Mus musculus: one gene and its partner. The protein of the gene in region 2 purifies or fractionates together with the protein of the main gene of each other region. This does not show direct contact. Links are inferred from orthologs where the notes say so. Each region holds a gene or a part of one and is shown on either strand. Other genes may lie near its edges.

Region 1 (6,573 bases), about 12 Mb from region 2:
CAGCTCTGCAGATGGACTCTGGGGGTCTGAACAATGACAAATGCTTTATTCCCTGAGTCATTCCCTTAGCCTATCAACCGCAGATTCTTGCTATCCTTTCCCATTACGGACAAAAATCACTTGGCGGTATTGTTATTTTCCTTCCTAAATGCTTACCTGATAAAGTATACATCAAATTTTCCTGCAGTTTTCCCAGATAACCTTTGCTTCACAACTCTTTCCCATCCACACGGGACAGGCTTGTGGCCTTCTGTCGCTGTAGTACTAGACAGAGTAGAAGCAGTGGGCTCTTGGAGAAGGGAGCTGCGCTCACTGCTTATCACCAGGTCCTTTCCATCTTCTCCCACTCCTCCCAGTCCAACAGCAATATCTTCCTTGCTGGAAAAACAAAACCCAAGTGATGAACTTAAAATTGCTTTTACCCTGCTTCCTCAGTTTCTGCCCACAGCAGTATGAGACTGTATAAAATACAAATTAAAGTCAGTGAGCTAGTCTTGTGCCATGAGGATTGTCCAGCTCTAACAACTTCTTGTCCTTCAACATGAGTGTCCTCCTCCACCTTGATTTTCAAACAGGGTTTCTCTGTGTAGTCTTGGCTGTCCTGGAACTCACTCCATAGACCAGGTTGGCCTCCAACTCACAGAAATTTGCTTGCTTCTGCCTCCCAGATGTTGGGAAGAAAGGCATATACCATCACTGCCTAGCTCAACATGGGTTTTTAAATGTTAGGACTCTCCACACAGTATACCTGCTAAACTTTTTCTTAATTCACACTATAGGGATTCAATAAAGGATTCTGATAACAGTTGTTGGAAGTCTGAGATATGAGCCAGTAACTGAACTTTTCATCTGAGATCAGACAAACTGCTCAAATGAATCACCCCCTCTTTCCTGCAAACATGTAAGGGGAACACTTCACATATGTGTGCATTTTTGAGAACCAACAACTACCACTTTTGTAAAATAGCATGGCCCTCCAAAAGCTACATAATTTCTGGTAAGAACTTCCAGCTCTCTTTCAGTCTTGATTCTCATCACTTTGTGAGGTTAAAATGTACTCTCATTGGGTGGTGAAGAGATGGCTTAGCTGTTAAGAACACGAGCTACTCTTGCAGAGGTCCTGAGTTCTATTCCCAGCAACCACACGATGGCTCACAATCTTCTAACTGTAATCACATGGGACCTGATGCTCTCTTCTGGTATGCAAGACAAAGCACCCACACCCACACCCCATGTATATAAAACATATATATAACATAAATAAATAAATCTCTAAGAATTATTTTACTCTTATTGACAAATTGTGTGATAACAAAATCAAATCACCTGCAGAGTGGACCCCGAAACCTAGGCCCACCTAATACTTCTCCCATACTGTTATGGGGGGGGGATAGTTCCCACAAAACCTCCAGTGCAGTGGATCTCTTCCCCCTTTAAAGAATTTATTTATTCTTATTTATGAGCACCATGAAGGTGCTGAGGCCTGAATGGACTTAGATCCCCTGGAGCCAAGTTATAGATGGATGTGAGCCTCTGCTGTGGGTGCTGGGAACCAAACCCAGGTCCTACAGAAGAGCAGTAAGTGCTTTAAACAATTGAACTATCTCTCCAGTGTTTAGTACAGTGTATTTTAATCACTAAACTATACATTTTAAAAGTGAGGGGTTGGAGAGATAGCTCAGTGGTTAAGAGCACATATTCCAGGAGACTCCGTACCCACATCAGGCAGCTTATAACACCCTGCCTGCAACTCCAGCGCCAGTGAACCTGACACCTCCTCTGGTCTCCACCAACACCTACGTATATAGACAAACACATAAAGAAAAAAAAGTGGGTCTCTAGAGAGACCTTCTAACCCAACCTACTTTCTACAAATAGGGAAATAGGGACACTAAGCAAGACCTAGAGACTAACCACAATTAGAACCATGGCATTCTTAGATGGAATTTGGCGTTAGGTATCAGCTAGAAGGATCTTATAGGGAGACAAGGTAACTGAAACCTGAGGGAATCCCTACAAAACTGTTAGGTTAACAAAATGGGTCAAAACCCCAGCTCGCTACTTATTATTAGCTGATCTTCCAAAGAGAAAGTCACTTTGAGCTCAAAATCTCCGTTCTCCATCTGTAAAAAGGAAGTAGCATTAAAAAAAAAAAAGTTTTGTTGTTTGCTTTTGAGCCGGGAATCTTATGTACCATAGGCTAGCTTTGAACCCACGACGTACCAGAGACTCATCTTCAACTTCTGATCCTCCTGCCTCCACAGGCAGACGCCGCCAAGCCCGGATATTCGGTGCTGTCGCTCGAACCCTCGGCTTTGTGTTTACTACGTAAACACTACCAACTTAGTTAAATGCCCAGCCCTTAAAAGTGTTTGAGCGCCCAAGTTTTGGGACATGCAAATACGTGCATCATTTTAGCCCGGACACAACAGTAGCTTCCTCTGTGACTTGTCATAGGGCTATTTCTGAGGGTCCCTTCCGGCCCAGGCTAACCTGCTTGCATCACAAAACCTCCCTTGTCCTCCAAGCTCCCCAGTCAGTTCGGCCAAGGAATCGGGTACACCCTAGTCTTGTTCCCACAGGGCGACAGCTCTAGGTGCCACCTTGTGTTAAAGGTTAGGAAGACCCACACAAGAGCGACTCCTCTGAGGCCCGAGAGAGGTTTAATAACTTGCCAGCGATCCCAAGGCGGGTCTGGAACTAGGCTCTCTCCACGGACTCTGTTGTCCCCAAGGTTTGGGCTCTCCATCCCTGCTGCTTTGGTCCACTGGGGCGCAGCTGCAGCTCCAGGCCGAGAGGTGGAGTAAAACACAACTCAAACCACTGAGCCGAATCCAAACACCGACGTGAAAGTCAATCAACCCACACAGCAGCCTTCCCGCCACCGCTTCAGCTACAGATGCCACAGCCAGGGTCCCGCCAATCAAACCCTCTGTCGTCAAGACTCCCCGCCCCACCCACCTTTCCGGACCAATCGCTCGTGTCATACTTACGCTTCCGCCTCCTGCGTCCCTACGCGCCCGGCGCTTCGGCGGAGGAGGTGGGCTCCCTTTTGTACATGCGCACTTGGAGCTTTGGGAAACTCATGCGCGGTTCATTGCGCATGTGCGTTGCTAAGGGTAGCGCAGGTAGCTGAAGTGGTTTGTGGAAAGAAGCCTGTTGCTGCCGAGGCTGGGAGGAGGGGCCCGAAGCGTGAGGGAAACGGCGATGAGGGCCGTGTTGACGTGGAGAGACAAAGCGGAGCAGTGGTGAGGAGCGGGAACTTCGGGGATGGCGGGGAGGCGGCAGGAACCGGCGCATTGCCATGGCAACGGGCCTGCGGCCTGGACCGAGGACTCTGATTCCGTGCCTTCAACTTCCCAATGGAAGAGAAGCTGAGATTCCTGGAGGGGCATAGGGATCATCTGAGGGAGGCTGGAGCAGTTTATACGTCATCATCATCCAATTTCACTTCTCTCTTCTCAAAATTCCTCACCCACCAGTGTTTTCTCAGCTTCCTAACCATCCTCAAAGTGCCCACACTTTTGTTTATCTGACATTCTTTAAATTTCTCCTGTTTTTGTTGGTTTGTTTTTGAGATAGAGCCTCACTTTAAAGCTCTGGTTGGTCTGGAATGCACTATGTTGACCAAGCTGGCGTTGAACTCACAAAGATACATATGCTTCTAGCTCCCCAGTGCCGGGATTAAAAATTTTCGAGCAGGAACAAACAAAACGGTGTGAGTAACTTGCATCTCGGTTCTGAGCATTTCCACCTGAGCTGAGATCTACTGTGTCTGAAACAGGACATTTCCATGTACGGTCAGAGAAACATGTAAGATGCGATCAAGTCAAGACATCTCTTGATTGGGAAGTTTGAGGAGTATTTTCAAAATTAGTACTTAAGAGTGAGCTTAATTTAAAGCTTAATTTTAAATACTGAGGATTAAGGCTTAGTATTTAAGAGCACTTTGGATAAGTTCCAGGACAGTCAAGTCTACACATAGAAACCCTGTCTTTAAAAACAAAAACAAACGAACAAAAAAGAAAAAGAAAAAAATATATAGTAAAAAAAAATATTGGGCTGGAGAGATGGCTCAGAGGTTGAGAGAACTGTCTGCTCTTCAAGCGGTTCTGAGTTCAAGTCTCAGCAACCACATGATGGCTCACAACCATCTATAATGACATCTGGTGCCCTCTTCTGGCCAGCAGGTGTATATGCAGGAAGAATGCTGTATACATGATAAATAAATCTTTAAAAAAAAATCAAAAAGTGTTTTAAAAAGAGAGAATGACAATAGAATGACTCTGTCATCTTAATTAATTTGGTATGATTTGATATCCTATTCTATTTTGTCATTAAAATCCACCAGCCAGGAACACATTTCAGGAAATTCTGGCTTGACTAATTCTCAGCTTGACTCAGAGTCTTCTTAGATGGTCTGGTCTGTTCCCCACCACTGTCTGTCCTGAGACTTTTCCTTGTGAGACCTTTCCTGAGATCCTGAACGTCCCTCAAGGCTGGCTTTGGAGGAACTTGCACAAAGAGCAGCTAGTGCTGACATGATTCCAACACTAGCTAAGACCTTGTGCCCTTTACCTCAGTGTCTCTTCACAGCAGCTCTAGGTAGGTACTGTCATTATCTCCACTTTACAGATGAGAAAACTGACTTATAGAGAGGGCAGATAGGTACACATATCTGGGTGTGATGGAGCCAGCTTGCAAGCTCAGGCCACCCTGTTTCAAAGCCAGTTCTCCCAGGCTCTGATTTCAGTTAGGTGAGTCACGTGAATGGGTGGCCCTTACTTGTATTAAATAGAAGGGATTTCTGTTACTTGCGGGACATTTTTGTACACCCTGCTACTTGGAACGCATCACCTTGCCAGCGCCTTTCATTTTCATAAACACCTTTGAGGAGGTTAGCAGTAGGGTGCTCAGCAGTTGAAGGAATCTGCTGCCAAGGATAATGATCTGAGTTCGATCCCTAGGGCTCACATGGTGAAAGGAGAGGACCAAGTTGCCCTTTGACCTCCAAAAGTGCTCCATGGTACACATGCCTCAATAAATAGCTCAGCACTTAAAGAAGGCTTTGATAATACTTTTTTGAGACAGGGTCCCATGTAGCCCAGCTGGCCTTAGGCTTCTAGTTCTCCTGCCTCATCTTCAGCAGTGCTGAGGTAATAACAGAGTTTATTACTTGTCTCTTCACTCTAGTATAAGATTACCCACAGCCAGGGGTGGTGGTCCATGCATGTCTTTAATCCCAGCACTCAGGAGGCAGAGGAAGTTGGAGCTCTTTAAGTTTGAGGCCAGCCTGGTCTACATAGTGAGTTCCAGCATAGCCAGGGCTACACAGTGAGACAATCAAACAAACAAAAAGGAGCACCGGTGCACAAGGTGGCAGTCACTGGCAACCAAGCATTGGCTTCCATGTCAGAGCAATAGGGAGTAACAAGGGCTGTGGCAAACTGGAAGGCTCCCACTCTGCATGAAAGGGGCAGCTGCTGCTCTGCTCCTGCCAATTATCATGGGTAGAAATTTGGCCTAGTGTGTGCAGATCTTCCTATTTTTACCAGAAGCTAGGAATCTGCGTTTGAAGTGTGAAATGTCCTGATTTTTTAAATGTTGGCACCTAATTAGAAAAAAAAAAAAAAAAAACAAAGTAAAACACCATGTGAGCCAAGCAAAACATTTGCTGGTCAAATGCAGCCTGCTCTGCTCTGTTCTCAACCCCTGGCACAGAATTTTGTTCGTTCTGCTCTTGTGCTTAAGAGTCTGTTGGGTGTAAGAGTTATTTTTTAATCTGTTTATCCCAGAAGTCTTTTAACCTTGTAAAAGCAATGGCTGTATTTTGTTTCCAAATGTTTCTGGAGCCTTTTAGTATTTAGTGAGTAGATGTGTGTGTGTTCATGGAGGAATAAGTGAATGAAAGACCAGTAAGGACTGGCTACCTGCTTTTAGGGCTGTTACAGATTTGAAGCAGTCTATTAGAGCAGGAGGTGCAGAGATTCTGTAGGCCAGCAGCCTGATGATGGCTACATATGCCAGCTGACGTAATGGAAGGAAACAGAACAAAACTCACACCTAGATAGAATCCAGCCATCCCAGATGCCCTGACTAGCCCCGCCCCGACTCAGTCACAGGCTCCTGCTCTGTGCTTGTGCTTCTGGTCTGTTCTTCATCCAGCAAAAGAACTCACTCAGGTCCTGATACTGTGCTTCTGTTGCTCTGCTCCTCATAAACCCAGAGTGACCCCTTCCATGTCTTTTGCTGGGTGGTCCCCTGGCGTTCTTGCCTCTAGGCTTGCTAACATTTAGATTATGCCTTGGAGCTTAGCCAAAAACTCCATTTTCCTACCCAAAGATCCTTCTTAACTTATTCTTTCCATCTCCTCTCTCCCTCTTACTTCCCCTCCCCCTCTTTTGTTCTTTCTTTGTGTGTGTGGAATGTGCATGCATGTATGTATGCAGATGAACTTGACTGTGCATGGGCATGGGTAGGTCAGAGGTTGGCATTGGTATCTTCCTCTATTTCTGTCCACCTTATTTTATTACTTATTTTTTATGTTATGTAGGTAGGTGTTCTGCCTGCATG
Region 2 (6,580 bases):
CTCTTTCTTCCTTTTTTTTTTTTTTTTTTTTTTTTTTGGTTGTTGTTGTTTTTGTTTTGTTGTTTTCTTTCTAGGCAGGGTCTCCTTGTCTGCCCTAGCCTTCTGCATATTCCAGGCTGGCCTCAAACTCTCAACCTTCCTGCTTCAACCTGCTGAGTTCTGGGATTAAAGGTGTGTACCACCACGGCTGGCTTTCTTTTCTCTCCTTTTTTTCCTTCCTCTCATGACAAGGGCTCACTACTTTGCCTAGGCTAGCCCCAACCTCCTGGCCTTAAGCAATCGTCTCACGTCAGCCTCCCAAGTACTAAGACATGGGTGTGCAGACGTGTGCCACCACGCCTGACTTCCTTGTCCAGTCCTCGGTCTCTGTTTAGTTCCGGCAAGGAAACAGAACTGGTTTTGGCGCTCTTGGGGCAGGCTGCGTTATCTGTGCCAGAGGACGTTGCCCGTGAAAGTAGAACATAGTTTCTCTTTCCCTTCCATTTCCAAATTCTGCCCTACTTTACTGTCTTTCAGGAAACAAATGTCCTCGGTTTCAAAGGTCCCAGGAAAATGTCTGTGATCATCCCGGGGATGAACATGAACCATGAGCGCATCCCTTTCAGGCCACGAAATGTAAGTAAAAAACATTTTCCCAGCGAGAGCAGGTCGCAGAGACAGAAGGGAAATTACACTCCACCAGCAAAGGTCTCTAAACCACAGCAATACACCTCTTACGCAGTAACAGAGTACAGCAGAGACCAATTTTGAGAACTGCTTTTTCTGAAAGCCCAGGCTGGAATGGTCATCTTCGTCAGGAAAGCCAGTGCTCCCAATCACCAGAGTAGGATGTTCCAGACACTTTGATTTAAGAAATGCTAGAACAGCCGGGTAGTGGTGGCGCACGCCTTTAATCCCAGCACTTGGGAGGCAGAGACAGGCAGATTTCTGAGTTCGAGGCCAGCCTGGTCTACAGAGTGAGTTCCAGGACAACCCTGTCTTGAAGCCCCACCCCCACCTCCACCCCCTCAAAAAAAAAGAAATGCTAGAACATTTGAATCTCAAGGCTGGGTCTGGAGAGATGGCTCAGTGGTTAAGAGCACTGGTTCCTCTCTCAAAGGACCCAGATTCAATTCCTAGGACACACGTGGTGGCTCACAATTACCTGTAACTTCAAATTAAAACAAAAATCAGTAATTAAAAAAAAAATGTTAAAAAGGAATTCCACGGGTGACCAGAAGGGGAGCAGTTTGTGGGATGTAAAATGAATAAGAAAGAAAAAATTGAATTTAAAAAAAAAAAAAAAAAAAGACTCCTGGCCTGGCCTGGCCTGATGTTGGCCTCTGGTCCTCTGATTTCAACCTTTCTGAAGTGAAGAGGCGGGCCTTGTCCCTGCCTCTCAGGATTATGAGTAAATGACACAGTAGTCATTCTCCCTCCACACAGGAACACGAGAGCTTGCTTTCAAAATGGCAAAACAAATCCATGGAGAACCTGATCGAGCTGCACAACAAGGCCCCGGTGTGGAATGACGACACCCAGTCCTACGTGCTGAACTTTCACGGCAGAGTCACCCAGGCATCCGTGAAAAACTTCCAGATCGTCCACGGGAATGACCGTGAGTGCGAGGGGGGGGCGGGGCTGGGTGGGACTGGGGCAGACACAGAAGTGACCAGCTCCGGGGTGGCCCGGAAGCCAGACTGGAAAATGATCTCTTGGAAAGATAGCTCCTCAGGGTGAGAGGAGTCTTTCCGTGGCATATCAAAGGACTGTTGGGTGAGGCCATTAGGACCCAGGTGCCAGTGACCTCATGAAAGCCATCAAGTGACTTCAGCCCATCCATCCTCCGGTCCCGGTCCCACCGGCTTTTCTAGGCTTTCTTGCTGCCCTCCATGCTAGTCAGGAGTAATTTCCCAGTCTGAGGGAGAACAACAGACAGAAAATTGAATGTGTTTATCTTTTTGAGAGCTGTGATCCTCCTTCTCTCTCTCTCTCTCTCTCTCTCTCTCTCTCTCTGTCTGATTCTCTCTCTCTGTCTGATTTTGTGTGTGAGGCTAGGGCTAGTACTTCCCACATCCCAGGCAGGTGCTATACCACTGAGCCATTTCCCTGTCCCCCCCTCCCCCATTTGCCTATTGTTACCCACACCTACCTCCCAGTACAACCACATTGACCACCAACACAGTGTGGTTTTCAGCTTCCCTAATGCTGCGATCCTTTAATCGGTTCCTTACATCGTGGTGACCCCCAACCATACGGTTATTTTCACTGCTGCTTCATAACTGTAATTTTGCTACTGTTACGAATCGTAACGTGGATATCTGACATGCGGGCCCCGTGAAAGGCGTCTCGACCCACAGGTTGAGAACTGGCTCTAAGGAGTTCATCTCTTTCTGTTTGCAGCTGACTACATCGTCATGCAGTTTGGACGCGTGGCTGATGACGTGTTCACACTGGACTATAACTACCCACTGTGCGCACTTCAAGCCTTCGCCATCGGGCTGTCCAGCTTTGACAGCAAGCTGGCGTGTGAATGAGAAGCAGCAAGCAGGGGATTTCTTCACCACAGAGCCTTCAAGAGCAGAAAGCTGCTGCCTCTGCCCCTGCCCCTGCCCCTGCCCCTGCCCCTGCCCCTGCCCCTGCCCCTGCCCCTGCCCCTGCCCCTGCCCCTGCCCCTGCCCTAGCACAAGAAGAGCAACATTCTGCCCCTCTGGTGAATGATCCAGTGTGTGTGTGTGTGTGAATGTGCATGTGTGTGTTTGTTTATACATGCATACACATTCACACATGGATGCATGCTTCCACGTACTCGTTCATGCCTTCTCTGAACTTCAGAGACCTGGTCATAGATTACAACTTCTCATGTGTGAGAGATGGCTTAAAGCACAGGGAAGTAGACACCCAGGCACACTGGTGTCTCCTGATCGCACAACAGACTCTGTGTGGTGAGTGTAGCTTTCATGTGCTCGGGCACTTCCAACAGAATCAGGTTCTAATGATTTAATACTTGGGCCTCCTGTTTTGAAGGCCCTTTCAAAAGGGGGCTTTTCCCTTGGATGCCTTTAGCCCAGGAGCCTGCAGCCTTCCTCAGCCAATGGTCTGATAGTGTCTCTTGCACTGACCCCAGTCAGGTCCTTTAGCACAAAACAGCCATAACTAGTTGGTGCACAAAGAGTGTAGCTGTGTCCCAATAAAACTTTATTTACAAAGTGGGCATTGGCCTAGTTTGGCCTGTGACTCTGGTTCGCAGGCCTGCCTTGGCTGTGTCCCTGTCCTCCAAGGCTGGAGCATCTTCCAGGCTAGATGTGGAGAGGCGGGGGGTGGTTTACTTTTCAGTAGCAGCAGACTGACATTTTATTTTTATTTTTACTTTATTTTTTTTTCCCATGGATCTCTGTGTAGCCCTGGCTATCCTGGAACTTATTCTGTAGACCAGGCTGGCCTCAGAGATCCACCTGCCTCTGCCCCCCAAGTGCTGGAATTAAAGGCTTACACTACTGTGCCTGGCCATAGACAGACTCTTAAGAGGAATTCTTGCCGAATCTACTCTTGGTAGCTTTTGCCTCATGGAGATTATGGCTGCAGAGTGTCATATATCATCTTGGGACATGTGACACTAGTTTGTTCGTGGGTCTGAAAGGCTCTGCTGTCCCCAGCCTGCCTCTTGCTTATTCTCAGAGTAGGTTGGTGGGCAGCCATCTCAGAAGCATGACTGTGGCCAGATCTTCGGAATCTTTGCTCTCTGGAATCTTAATCTAGTGTCTCCTTAGAGGCAGCAAGAGTCTTGGTGAGGAGGTCACCTCGCCGACACTCCACAGGCTTTGCCTGTCAGCTTTGTCCTCCAGCCTCGAAACCTGGCCCACACCAGTGGAGACACTGCCCTGCATGCTGAGTCTTTGAGATCTTGAACATCTCGAACATCTCCCAGCGAATCATGACAAATTCCTCAAGGTCCCCAGCCTACAGTGTACCTGAACTTAAGAATTCAAAAACTTTGGGTCTACATTCAGTGGTCCCCCACTCTCAAACTGGCAACTGCTCCGTGGTTTTTCCTGTATGGAGGAGGTCCCTGCATCCCTGCATCCTGTTGCTCCATGCTCACAGCTGTGTGACGACTACAGCGTGAGATCTGGGAGGTGAGACCTGTGCTAAGGCCAGTGTCTTGCCTGTCCCTTCAGATGTCACTGTCTCTGCCTCTGGCAGGCGTCCCATCAAGTGCCTTGTTCATAAATGTGCTCTGAAACCTGACACACCTCTGCTTTCCCAGACGAGCCACCTTTGTTGAGTGAAAACTGCTCTCTGTCTCCACTTGAAGGGGGTGGGGCTATGACTTTCTGCCCAGCCTAGAGAGCTGTATACTCCCATTTCATGGACTCTGCTTGAGTGTGCAGGTTTTACATGAATTCTATTTATACCTTTTGTATGCCACATAAATAAAGATAATTTATATAAAGATGTCGCTTTCCCAGAATACCATCCCTTGGGTTTCTCCTGTTGTGTTCTTTAAGCTCTTTGAGCCAAGTAGCAGCAGAATTGGGTCTTTGGGGTGGAGGTGGGGGCACCACAGACTAAGAACCCAGTTTAGGAGGCAGCATAAAAGTGTCATACTCACGATCTTGGAGCTCTGCATGAATTGTGGAACTCAGCAGACTGCACTAGGGGCCCAGGATGGCCAGGCCAAATCATCTTGGACACTGGTCAGCCTCCTGGATCTAACAGTAAAACTGTGTGTGTGTGTGTGTGTGTGTGTGTGTGTGTGTGTGTTAGGATCTTGTGGCTATTCAAGGCTATACTGGAAAGCAGCCCAGGCTGCCTTTGAACTCACACCCCTCCTACCTCAGCCTCTAGCACTGAGACTAAGAGCTCTGTGCACATGTAATGGACTGTGTCACCTGATATTGATACGTGGAGAGAAAGTCTGCACTCACAGACCTTTCTAAGCTTTTACTCCTTGTTCTGGCTGGTTTTGTGTGTCAACTTGACACAAGCTAAAGTTATCACAGAGAAAGGAGCTTCAGTTGGGGAAATGCCTCCATGAGATCCATCTGTGGGGCATTTTCTCAATTAGTGATCAAGGGGGAAGGGCCCCTTGTGGGTGGTACCATCCCTGGGCTGGTAGTCTTGGGTTCTATAAGAACAAGCCAGGGGAAGCAAGCCAGTAAAGAATATCCCTCCATGGCCTCTGCATCAGCTCCTGCTTCCTGACCTGCTTGAGTTCCAGTCCTGACTTCCTTGGTAATGAACAGCAGTATGGAAGTGTAAACTGAATAAACCCTTTCCTCCCCAACTTGCTTCTTGGTCGTGTGTTTGTGCAGGAATAGAAACTCTGACTAAGATACTCCTGTTAGCAATAAAGACAAAAAAAAAAAAAAAAAAATCAAAAGCCCCAGCTGAGAATTTAGTTCCTAATAGCCTGATTTTTTCTTTTGCATAATTTTATATGACTAAAATTGTATTATGACCTTTGGGTTGTTGTTTGGTTGGTTTTTTTTGGGGGGGGTGTGGAGGCAGGTCTCAGTAATTTTTTCTGTATGGGTTGTTTTGTTTTTTTTTTTCCTGCACGTGTTGTGCACATGTGTGTCTGGTGCCCACAGAGAAGGTAACAGGGCATTGACTCTGCTTTACCTGGAGTTCCAGGTGGTTATATGCTATTGTGTGAGCACCAAGAATTGAACCCTGGTTCTCTGGAAGAAGAGCAAATGACCACTGAGCCATCTGTCCAGCCTCTGCCTCAAGTGCTGAGGTCCAAATCCTTTTGTAACGTTTTACCCTACATTCCGTGATAGAGACTTTCCTCTTCTGGTGCTGGGGATGGAGCCCAGGGCCTCGCACATGCTCAGTCGCACTCTTAGCCCCATTTTAAAGCAAGTCACTGAGCATGGTGACGTGCCTGCCGTTCCAGGCTTGGGCTGCTGAGTGAGGAGGCTCTCGAATTTGAGACCAGCTTGGGCTACGTAGTGAGGCGCTGTATGAATTTTTCTTCCTTTTTAAAGACAAGGTCTTTATATGGCATACAACTAGTCCTAGCTGGCTTGAAACTCACTGTATAGACTAGGCTGGTCCTGAACTCAGAGATCCTGCGACACTGCCTCTTGAGTGCTGGAATCAGAGGTGTGCCCCACTGTGTTCAGCCTCTGATTTTTTTTAAAGATAAAGTTTCATGTTGCCCTAGGCTAGCCTGTATCTATGTAGTTGAGGAAATACCTGACAAGTAACCCGTTTTGTAGGTGGCTGTGTTGTGTGCACATGTGCATGTGTGTGAAGGTACACATGCATGTGGAGACCCGGGGTTAACCTCAAGGGTCACCCTTAGGTGATCTTCTCATTTTCTGAGAAAACGTCTCTGTCCTGAGGTTAGGCTAGGCTGGGTGGTCAGTTGTACCAAGGACTAAGCTGGCTGGCTGTTATCACCAGGGATTAGCCTGTCTTTCTCCCAGAGCTGGGATTGCAAATTTCAAACCAGACTGGACAGGTCTTCGTGAGTTTGAGGCCAGCCTGATCTGTATAATAATAAGTTCTAAAACAGCCTGAGCAACGTACAGAGACTCTGACTTGAAAACAAAGAAGCCGGGCAGTGGTGGCGCACACCTTTAATCCCAGC

The links. Proteins that work in one complex are often made in the same cells at the same time.
Region 1: the proteins of Tulp3 (region 2) and Ift122 purify together in Homo sapiens (co-immunoprecipitation; 6 studies listed by BioGRID and IntAct, counting the BioPlex papers as one, with this or other methods). This does not show direct contact. The link is inferred for Mus musculus from reciprocal best matches to the Homo sapiens genes TULP3 and IFT122.

The regions. Positions count from the first base shown.
Region 1 is NC_000072.6:115,850,462-115,857,034, forward strand, and holds the start of Ift122 (intraflagellar transport protein 122 homolog), read left to right. Parts: upstream 1-3,066; 5' UTR 3,067-3,207; coding exon 3,208-3,248; intron 3,249-6,573. Other genes in the region: Mbd4 (methyl-CpG-binding domain protein 4), read right to left, coding at 157-378, 2,676-2,749. UniProt on the Homo sapiens protein: As a component of the IFT complex A (IFT-A), a complex required for retrograde ciliary transport and entry into cilia of G protein-coupled receptors (GPCRs), it is required in ciliogenesis and ciliary protein trafficking.
Region 2 is NC_000072.6:128,319,015-128,325,594, reverse strand, and holds the end of Tulp3 (tubby-related protein 3), read left to right. Parts: exon of another isoform or gene 1-17; intron 18-74; exon of another isoform or gene 75-516; coding exon 517-615; intron 616-1,425; coding exon 1,426-1,597; intron 1,598-2,382; coding exon 2,383-2,516; 3' UTR 2,517-4,434; downstream 4,435-6,580. UniProt on the Homo sapiens protein: Negative regulator of the Shh signaling transduction pathway: recruited to primary cilia via association with the IFT complex A (IFT-A) and is required for recruitment of G protein-coupled receptor GPR161 to cilia, a promoter of PKA-dependent basal repression machinery in Shh signaling.